Drosophila melanogaster: one gene and its partner. The gene in region 1 interacts genetically with each later gene. Each region holds a gene or a part of one and is shown in the gene's direction. Other genes may lie near its edges.

The links. A genetic interaction does not mean that the proteins touch.
Region 2: of Sc2 (region 1) and Kr, changing one suppresses a phenotype caused by changing the other (phenotypic suppression), as found in Drosophila melanogaster (2 studies listed by BioGRID).

Annotation. Positions count from the first base shown.
Region 1 is NT_037436.4:3,901,507-3,905,567, forward strand, and holds Sc2 (Sc2), read left to right. Parts: upstream 1-1,985; 5' UTR 1,986-2,034; coding exon 2,035-2,405; intron 2,406-2,562; coding exon 2,563-2,779; intron 2,780-2,999; coding exon 3,000-3,115; intron 3,116-3,177; coding exon 3,178-3,382; 3' UTR 3,383-3,529; downstream 3,530-4,061. Other genes in the region: Ubi-p63E (Ubiquitin-63E), read right to left, coding at 1-253; ida (imaginal discs arrested), read left to right, coding at 3,851-4,033.
Region 2 is NT_033778.4:25,224,787-25,231,915, forward strand, and holds Kr (kruppel), read left to right. Parts: upstream 1-1,824; 5' UTR 1,825-2,165; coding exon 2,166-2,202; intron 2,203-2,575; coding exon 2,576-4,047; 3' UTR 4,048-6,608; downstream 6,609-7,129. UniProt on the Drosophila melanogaster protein: Krueppel is a gap class segmentation protein. It is involved in the segmentation of the embryo and in the differentiation of the Malpighian tubules.

The DNA of each region.
Region 1 (4,061 bases):
TCAAAGTCTTCACGAAGATCTGCATACCACCACGGAGACGAAGGACCAAGTGAAGGGTGGACTCCTTCTGAATGTTGTAATCGGACAGGGTGCGTCCGTCTTCCAGTTGCTTGCCGGCGAAGATCAGACGCTGCTGATCTGGGGGAATTCCTTCCTTGTCTTGGATCTTAGCCTTAACATTCTCAATGGTGTCCGAGGGCTCTACCTCGAGGGTGATGGTCTTTCCGGTCAAAGTCTTCACAAAGATCTGCATTTTGGATTATTCTGCGGGAAGAAAATAGAGATGTGGAAAATTAGTACGAAATCAGACGAGTTTCGTTGAAATTACAAAACTATTGAAACTAACTTTCTGGCTGGGGAATAAAAATGGGAAACTTATTTATCGACGCCAACTTTGTTGAGAAACCCCTATTAACCCTCTACGAATATTGGAACAAAGGAAAGCGAAGAAACAGGGAACAAAGGGTAGTTGAGAAACCTTTGTTCCGTTGCTTCGTCATCGTTTTCGTGTTGCGAGTGTGTGCATGTATGTATACACAGCTGAAATGCATGCATACACATTATTTTGTGTGTATATGGTGACGTCACAACTACAAGCAATAAGAAATTTTCAGACGTGGCTTTGTTTAAGCAACCTACTCTATTTCAGCTAAAAATAAGTGGATTTCGTTGGTAAAATACTTCAATTAACTAAACAACTAACTAATAACATGCACACAAATGCTCGAGTGCGTATGTGATTTCTCGAATTTTCAAATACGTCACTGCGAATTTCACAATTTGCCAATAAATCTTGGCGAAAATCAACACGTAAGTTTTATTTATAGATTTGTTTGCGTTTTGATGCCAATTCATTGGGAAAACGAGATGCGTGGCTGCCAATTTCTTATTTTGTAATTACGTAGAGCGTTGAATAAAAAAAAATGGCCGAACAAAGACCTTGAAATGCAGTTTTTCTTGAAATTACTCAACGTCTTGTTGCTCTTATTACTAATTGGTAACAGCGAGTTAAAAACTTACGTTTCTTGTGACTTTCGAGAATGTTCTTTTAATTGTACTTTAATCACCAACAATTAAGTATAAATTTTTCGCTGATTGCGCTTTACTTTCTGCTTGTACTTGCTGCTGCAAATGTCAATTGGTTTTGAAGGCGACCGTTCGCGAACGCTGTTTATATACCTTCGGTGTCCGTTGAAAATCACTAAAAAATACCGTAGTGTTCGTAACACTTTAGTACAGAGAAAAAAAATTGTGCCGAAATGTTTTTGATACGTACGAATACCTTGTATTAAAATTTTTTATGATTTCTATGTATCACTTTTTTTTTGTGTTTTTCGTTTAAACTCACCACAGTACAAAACAATAAAATATTTTTAAGACAATTTCAAATTGAGACCTTTCTCGTACTGACTTGACCGGCTGAATGAGGATTTCTACCTAGACGACCTACTTCTTACCATGACATTGAATGCAATGCCACCTTTGATCTAAACTTACAAAAGTCCAAGGCTTGTTAGGATTGGTGTTTTGGAATTTAAGACCCTTGTTAGTTTGCTTTTGAAATAGCACTGTCTTCTCTACCGGCTATAATTTTGAAACTCGCAGCTTGACTGGAAATTTAAAAAGTAATTCTGTGTAGGTAAAGGGTGTTTTAAAAGTGTGATGTGTTGAGCGTTGCGGCAACGACTGCTATTTATGTATATATTTTCAAAACTTATTGTTTTTGAAGTGTTTTAAATGGAGCTATCTGGCAACGCTGCGCATAATCTTACACAAGCTTTTCTTAATCCATTTTTAAGTAAAATTTGTTTATACTCTTTCGGCAAATAATTGTTAAATCGCTTTAAGTGGGCTTACATCTGGATAAGTAATGAAAACCTGGATAATATATTAATACATATAATCCACTGTGCTTTCCCCGTGTGTGGCCATATACCTAAAAAAGTTTATTTTCGCAGAGCCCCGCACGGTCACACTACGGTTCGGCGATTTTCGATTTTGGACAGTACTGATTGCAAGCGCACCGAAAGCAAAATGGAGCTGGAGATTTTGAACGCGAAGAACAGCAAGCCGTACGGCAAGGTGAAGGTGCCCTCCGGCGCCACGCCCATCGGCGATCTGCGCGCCCTAATTCACAAGACCCTGAAGCAGACCCCACACGCGAATCGCCAGTCGCTTCGTCTGGAACTGAAGGGCAAAAGCCTAAAGGATACGGACACATTGGAATCCCTGTCGCTGCGTTCCGGCGACAAGATCTATGTGAAGGATCTGGGTCCCCAGATTGGCTGGAAGACCGTTTTCCTGGCCGAGTACGCCGGCCCACTGATTGTATACTTGATTTTCTACTTCCGACCGGAGTTGGTGTACGGCAAAGCTGCCAGTCTGCCGATTTCCCTAACCACCCAGTGAGTTTGTAGAAAGTAGTCTCTGAAGTCTTTCGATTGTCGACCTAATCGACCTCGTCGCTTATGCAAACTAAAACGCAACGGCTCTGCATAATTATCCCCGAACTTTGGATGGTGGTTCACCCAGTAACCCGCTTTCTTTTCTCTTTTGCCCCAGCATTGCCGCCGGCTGCTATACGGTCCACTATGTGAAGCGTCTGCTGGAGACGATTTTCGTGCACCGCTTCTCGCACGCCACCATGCCGCTGAGGAATCTCTTCAAGAACTGCACATACTACTGGGGATTCACCGCCTATGTGTCCTACCACGTGAACCATCCGCAGTTCACCTCGCCCTGCATGTGCACCGTTTGGGGAGCTCTTGGGGCATTCGCTGTATGTATCCGCGGCCATGGTTTATGGATCTGGGTTATATGTTTTCGTAATCTACCGGTTTCCTTTGCTTTTGTTCGAAACATTTGTTTCTTAATACCAAAGGTGTAGCTTTTTGTTAAAATTGGTCAAGCAATTTGTAATGTTATATGTGCTATATATTTGGGATCCATTAATCATATTTGCAGACCCACAAACTAAGCCGCACACTTTTCACTTTCAGCTCTGCGAACTAGGAAACTTTTCGGTGCACATTGCCCTGCGCAACCTGCGTCCGCCGGGAACAAAAGTGCGCAAGATTCCGGTGGCCGATGGAAATCCCCTCACCAAGCTGTTCGAGTAAGTGGTCACTAAAAAAACCCACAGCTCAAGTTTATTAATTCGCGCTCTTCGAACTGCAGCTTGGTTTCTTGCCCCAACTACACCTATGAGATCGGTGCCTGGGTTTCATTCTCTGTGCTGACTTCTTGCCTGGCTGCCTATCTGTTCGCCTTTGCCGGAGCCTTCCAGATGACCATTTGGGCCTTGGCCAAGCATCGCAACTACAAGAAGGAGTTTAAGGACTACCCTCGCCAGCGCCGCTCCATCTTCCCCTTCGTCCTGTAGGTTGGATGTGGGTATCCCCATGACGCATTCGCTGTATTACCTATTCCACATTATACATTTACACATTTGGCTAGCGTTTAACAGGGTAGTTGTCTAGTGAACTTTGTGCTTTCGTTGATTTAAAGCAAATACAAATTGGAGAAGCGTACATTTGGCGTGTTTTCGTCGCTTTTTGGACTTTGATCGATCGTATGGGAAGTTCGACGAAGCGCGTGTAATCAGTAATAGTTTATTTGGGGCTTTCAAAGGTGTGCCAGGTGCTTACCTTGCTAAAAATAAGTGGCCACCTTGGGTCATTTATTTTTAACACTTTTATTTCAGAATGAAACACCTTTTTTATAGCTTTAGTAAACCAATAATGCATTTTTATTGAACAAACATTTTGAAACAACGCGCCATCTGGAGCTGCCACACTGCTGAACTCCGTACCGTTTGGCATCTCCAGCGAAGCTAAGTTGGCTGCGGCTGATGATTTTGTGTTTACATTTTGCCGGCAAATCGAAAATTGGATTTAGAGGCCCTAAATTAACCATGAATCTGTTCGAGGAGCTGGACACCTTGGACCCCTCCTTCAAACTAGAGCCTCCCCGCATCGAGACGCCCACGGCGCACAAGATTACCGTGTTGATATTGCTCAAACAGTATGTGATTGTAGGTGCACCCACTTATTTACTCCGTG
Region 2 (7,129 bases), on another chromosome or scaffold:
AATATTAAAGAATAATAACTAACTAAACTAATTTTGTTGACCCAGGTAAGTTCCCATATTTCGGACCTTATCAGCGGCCTCGACCATACGCACTTTACACGCACTTCTGCCCCATTCACTCGGAAATCTTTAGTTCGCTTTGCCAATCAAAATCTAGTCTATTTTTCTTTTACTCGCTTTGATACTATTCTAGTTTAGTGATTGCCGACAAAGTCATTAACGATAAGGCCCGGATCTTATTAAAATCTGTTGAGCTTAAGTGGATCTTTCAATATCAAGCCTCTGCTTATCACGCAAACAACCAAAAAAAATTTCTGACTAATCGCCGAAACATAGGAATCGTATGAAGATTTTCTAAAACCGGTCAGCTCAGCCCGAAATTTAAGAATTTCTTATCAATAGGGTCAGTTTTAAGCGCTTTGCTTGCATATTATTTAATGCCTTCTGCGAATTTTGTTTTGGTGAAAAACTTTCTATGAAGTCGAACATTCGATGACAAAACCATTATAATTTTACGTAACATTATGCAGAGCAAGGATATTTGTGTGCCTTTCTGCTTTTGTTTGGTTTCACTTTCTTAAAATCCACGGTAGTTCAAATTTACCACCCGGTGAGCTCTGAGCGTCCTTGGCCTACCTACAAAACCAAAAATACCGATTTTCAACATAAATTTAACATAGCATGTCCTTGCCATAAAAATCTACATAAAACCATTTAAAAGTCAATCCGCAAAAGTCACAGAAAACGTCTATACAAGCAAGAAAATTTCAACGATGCAGCTCTCTTACAATTTTTTATTATATTTCCTTTCTACCTGAATCCGTTTTTTACTAGTTCCTTTTTACGATTTCTTTTTTAGACGTGTGCCAATAATTAGTTGTCCATTAAACTGAACTTCCACGTCTTTGAGACTTTGCTCAACAGGCTACAAGGAAGACAAAAAACTCACTCAGTATAGCTGGTAAAAAACCGTCGACCTTCTTTCTTACTTTCTGCACTCCTTAAGCCGATGTTTTGTTTACTTCCTGTTTACTCGTACAGCGCACGCTTGAAATTCAACCCCGTCCGTGACATCTCTTTTCATGAATTTTGGCTCTTTTGCTCTCGCTGTTTCATTTTCGCCCTGTTCTCCATTGGCGTTCATCCCCCTTAGACACATTAGTTATTTTCTATAGCTCAAATGTAAAAAGGGGAAATGACAAAGGCACATCTGAGTGAGTTTTTGTTGTGCGTCCCTTACTAACTCTAAAAACTTCTACGTGATCTTTATGTGGTGTAATATTCCTGCAAGTGCAGTTTTTATGAAGGCTCTAAAAAACACAAGCGGAAGTGGTCATAAGCATTAAAAAATGTCCTTTAACGGTCAACACATAGTTCTGATTTTTTATGTTTTATTACTGACTAGAAACGTAAAGGTCATAAAACCCTCTACTCAGCGAAGATAATTCGCATCGACAACCTATGTTAAAAAACCACATCGTCCATATTTGACTCTAACTGACTATATATCTTTTGCATTGAAAGGAACCTCTAGCTGTCTCATTCGCACCAATTTGCATATGAAAAATTAGCACTTTTAGGTATAAAAAGGAATCGATGAAATCAACTCACTCAACTCAGCGAAGTACCCAGTTTTTACTTTACCTGCTCAGGCTTGGGGATCGTTTTTCGCTTTCGCCGTGATGATTTCCCTTCCTGTCTGCACCCTTATTTGCGTGCGTGTGAGCGGGAGAGCCAATTGAGTCCCGGCGTGTGTGCGTACGAGGGTGAGTGAGAATCTTTCGCCGAGACAGAGCGTACTTATAGTTAGCTCACGCAGCGAATTTGTATCAGTCGTGATTTGGCTCTGTCAGCGAAAGGAACAACCATTTGTTGTGCCACACACAACCGCGAGTAATATAATCGAATCAAATTTCAACTACCTCATTTTGCTAAATCGGTAAACTTTTATAAAAGACAATTTTTGTGAAATCTCTCTACCTCAAAGTACAAAAGTGTGTACAAAAATTATTCATATCCCTGAAAGTGCACAAATTGCTCAAATGAAATTTTGTTGTCTAAAAAACTGAAGCTCCAAAACCACGAAGGCGAATATTATAGGTGTTTTCTGTGTGCGGGAAAACATTGCGCGAGCACAAAATTAGGAGCACAAGAAGAATTTGTTGATGTCCATATCAATGCTTCAAGACGCACAAACGCGAAGTAAGTATTAGACCAAATTAAAATATTCCCCAAGTTTGTAAACTATCTAGAAGTTCTAGAGTCCCCGATCACTTTCTCATTATTAAACAGTCCGATGTCTTTAGGATAGAAAATACAAATGTAATGTAATTGCACACATACCGATTAGTTAGAATTTGTTTACATGTTTGGACAGGAACCGGCACTTAACTCGTTATCGACCAAAACAAAAACTAGTTAGACGAAAATAGAGAGCTGCGAAAACACTAAGAGTTCTCTCCGTACGAAACTTTCTCTCACACATGTATCATATGTAAAATTTTTTTCTCTTTTAAGCCGTTGCTCTTAAGACATTTCCAAATGAAAACATACTAACTTATGATTTTTTTTTTAGCCTTAGCTGCTGCATTAGCTGGCATAAAACAAGAGGACGTTCATCTAGACCGTTCCATGTCGCTATCGCCCCCCATGTCGGCCAACACATCAGCTACAAGCGCCGCTGCGATTTATCCAGCTATGGGTCTCCAACAGGCGGCCGCTGCCTCAGCTTTTGGAATGCTCTCACCTACCCAACTTCTGGCTGCAAACCGTCAAGCTGCCGCATTCATGGCCCAACTGCCCATGAGCACATTGGCCAACACTCTCTTTCCACACAATCCGGCGGCTTTGTTTGGGGCTTGGGCTGCCCAACAGTCGCTCCCGCCCCAGGGTACGCATTTACATTCGCCGCCAGCCAGCCCGCACTCGCCGCTGTCCACTCCTTTAGGTAGTGGCAAGCACCCATTAAATTCCCCCAACAGCACTCCCCAGCACCATGAGCCAGCGAAGAAGGCTCGAAAGTTATCGGTTAAGAAGGAGTTTCAGACCGAGATCAGCATGAGTGTAAACGATATGTACCATACATCGGGAGGCCCAATATCTCCGCCTTCCAGTGGCAGCTCTCCTAATTCAACGCACGACGGAGCGGGTGGAAATGCTGGATGTGTCGGTGTCTCCAAGGATCCATCTCGCGACAAAAGCTTCACCTGTAAAATCTGCTCACGCAGCTTTGGCTATAAGCACGTGCTTCAGAACCACGAACGCACCCACACCGGTGAGAAGCCTTTCGAATGTCCGGAGTGCCACAAGCGGTTTACTCGTGACCATCACTTAAAAACCCACATGCGTTTGCATACTGGAGAAAAACCATATCATTGCTCGCACTGCGATCGTCAATTCGTTCAGGTGGCCAATCTTAGACGACATTTGCGAGTCCACACTGGAGAGCGTCCCTATACTTGTGAAATCTGCGATGGCAAATTCAGTGACTCCAATCAGCTTAAGTCCCACATGCTGGTACACAACGGTGAAAAGCCGTTCGAGTGCGAACGGTGTCACATGAAGTTCCGACGGCGCCACCATCTGATGAATCACAAGTGTGGCATCCAGTCGCCGCCTACTCCCGCGCTTTCACCGGCCATGAGTGGAGATTACCCCGTGGCAATCTCCGCAATTGCTATCGAGGCATCCACGAATAGATTTGCGGCAATGTGTGCCACCTACGGAGGTTCGAATGAGTCGGTCGACATGGAAAAAGCGACACCGGAGGACGATGGTCCATTGGATTTGTCTGAAGATGGAGCCAGCTCTGTGGATGGCCATTGCAGCAACATCGCACGGCGCAAGGCACAGGACATTCGTCGGGTTTTCCGGCTGCCTCCACCGCAAATCCCTCACGTACCCAGTGATATGCCTGAGCAAACCGAGCCAGAGGATTTGAGCATGCACTCTCCTCGCTCTATCGGATCTCACGAGCAAACCGATGATATTGACTTGTATGATTTAGATGATGCCCCGGCTTCTTATATGGGCCATCAACAACATTAGGCCAGTACCACACCGAATTGTACATAGCCCTAATCAGTTTTCATTTGATGAAATTGACTGGCATTTATTAACACAAAATTGAAAATTTTGCTATTTCAAAGTGGAAAGTAAAAATTGTTGCAACAGGAATATAATGATAAGTACAAGTTTAAAAAAAAATAACATACAAAAAAGTCGAAATTGTACAAAGTAAGCCATACCGTATGCTTGTTACCGCCAAACCCCACCAAATCAAATCGAAAATGTCGTGCCATTCTTTACCTTAAATTTAAGTTATATTCTTAGGTTCGGAATCTTAAATTGTACATATTCAGCTTACACAGCTGCCAATTGTAAAGTAATCGGCGCTCTAAACATGCATTGTTGCAGAAAAATAAAAGACACGAAGTTTAATTAGGAAATCTATAACTAATTTTATTTAATTTATTAGCTTAATTTTTTATAATTTAATCAAATTCTTTAAGAAAACAATGCCAATAATCTTCAAATCAAAACTAACTTTAAGTTAAATAATAAAAAACATTTGTTTGATAATTGTTCTGTTTGCATTCTCTATTTAAAACTATTATTAAATATAAAAATTTAGTTAATCCTGTTTTTTTAAAGATCATTCTTAAATGTACACTTTTATATTTATACTTCAATAAATATTTGGTTTAATTGTTGCTGCTTCAAATATAAACAATAAAGAAAAAAGAAAATCAATGGTAACGTTAATATTTAACTGATTCCGCTTTTATTTCATATTGCCATAACTTAAACACAGTTTACGCATCCATTTTTGAAAATCTTTTTTTTTTTGTTGCAAACTATAAGAAACGTTAATATATATTCCAAAATAATAACCTAATGTAGATCAATGCGTATCGAAAGTATAGTAATCCCACTTATCTTAACACTCGTAACTATTAGTTTTAATTGTAAGACTTGAACCAAATACACAGGAAGAAATTGCTATAACCAAATACCTCCAATACCTCTGTATCGAAATTGTTGTGAGCTAAACAGTATATACATTCAACAATTTGGCAATCGTACAATTCAACTGAATTTATATACAAGACTTAGGAATATAAACTACGAAGCATAAACAATTTATATGTATTAAAATTTTGATGCATATTTAAATGGACCTAAAATAAGAAATTAATTTTAAATACTAGGCCAATTCAAATTACATATAAAAGTATATAAGGTTGTATATAACAATAACAATTTGAAATAAATTTAGTGCAATTTTTCGTTCTATTCATTGGTAAGCTTACTGCTTTTATTTTAAAACGTTGTAGTCATAATAATGTAACAAATTAATATGTAATTTTCTTTGTTCATTCAAATGTATGGTATACAAGTTCCTCAAGATTAAAAGAATACAAGAGCTATAAACTAAAATAGAGAGTGCATTTCTAATCATTTGAAAGTCAGCGCACGAAAGACATCATATTAATTGTGTACAGCAACATTCGACGTTTAACCCAATAGATATAATTAAATTTATAAAATCACAAGTCAATTTTTATGTAAATAAATTATAATCCTAATTGTGGCTAGGGATGTGCAATGTATCAAAAAATAAGAGTTATATGTGTTAATTAGGGGGTTGCTAATTTTAACCCTTTAAAGACATACACACATACACCTTGTAAAATACGTCAGTAAATATAAACTAGAAAATGTATTTTATGGTACATGATTGCATTAGATATGTCAGTCTAGCATATAGTAAACGAAACTGTTACTTTTTGTCATAACTATTTCTTCTCTAATTTAATGTTCTACCTATATCAATAATAAATACATATGTATACATCGGCAAATATGTATTTATTACATAAAAATCGAAATATATTATGTTAAATTTAAAAATTGCTGTCTGGGAAACCAAAAATAAATGAATATAAATATATATATGTATATATATGTATATACATATGAGATAATTGTGTAAAGCAAAAAATATTCGTAGCAACCCCGCTTTAGAAAATTACCCACAGCTTTCTTCGATTTTTCGTAAAAGAGAAAACGGGCAGCATTACATAAATTTTTAATTTATGCAAACGAAGCCCTTTCGCATTATTTTACATTTGCCACAAGACGCCCCACTAATGCCGTCGCCACGTTCCTCCCCACGTCACCCCCTTTATTCATCCATCCCTTCACTGGAATTTAAATTTACGTCTGCAGGCAACGGCAGCAGCTGAGCAAAAACGAATATAAAAATCGCGCCGCGCAGTCAGAAAATGTCACAGTGTTTTTTCCATTTAATCTCCAGAGAGAGAGAGCAAACATCTACAATGCTATGAAAGAAAGTCGACGCCACCCACTCATACCAATCGCCTCCCGTTCAGCCATGCCGCGGAACTGACGCCTTCTCTTCTTTGTGCCCCTTTCAACAGCCAAAAAAGGCTTCATCCTGGCAGCCCCCTCTATATAAAATTGTATGTACAAGTATTACATAAAGAACGTCTTATGTACTTACACACGTACATATATAAAACGGAGTAAAAGAGTGAGACGCAGGACAAATGCTCACGTTTTGTGATGCTTATTAGCATTTTAGGCTTTTTTCGCTTAGACTTCTGTAAACATACTCTATGAGCGTATACGTAAATAAAAACAATTCAATAATTAAAAAGTTAAACGTAATGTTAGCCAAATAAACCTTATGCTAAAACTGTTTACCCTAATTTTACCAATAAAAGCTTATTATAAATAAGTTAAAAGAAGAAACGGGAATAAACTGGTAATTGCCAGTTTTATAGTGTAGATAGGTACGTATATCTTATTCGAACCCCCAATCCTCACCCTCAAAAGCTTTTTTTTTAGCTGCCGAGTAAATAGTTTGGTGTTGGACATAGAAAACTTTCAAATGAGTTTACGATTTTTTTAAATATTTCGTGTTCCGCAAAGGAATGAAAAATAAAAGGCCTTGAAAATGAATTTAAGGCCTTCGCTGGCAAAGAACCGCCGACGCACCCAACTTACTGTCGTTATTATTTAAACTGAAAAATTATAATTTTTACCAGCAGACTTCTGCTCACAAATTCTAAGACTGGCGCTTATCCAAGAAAGACATTATTAT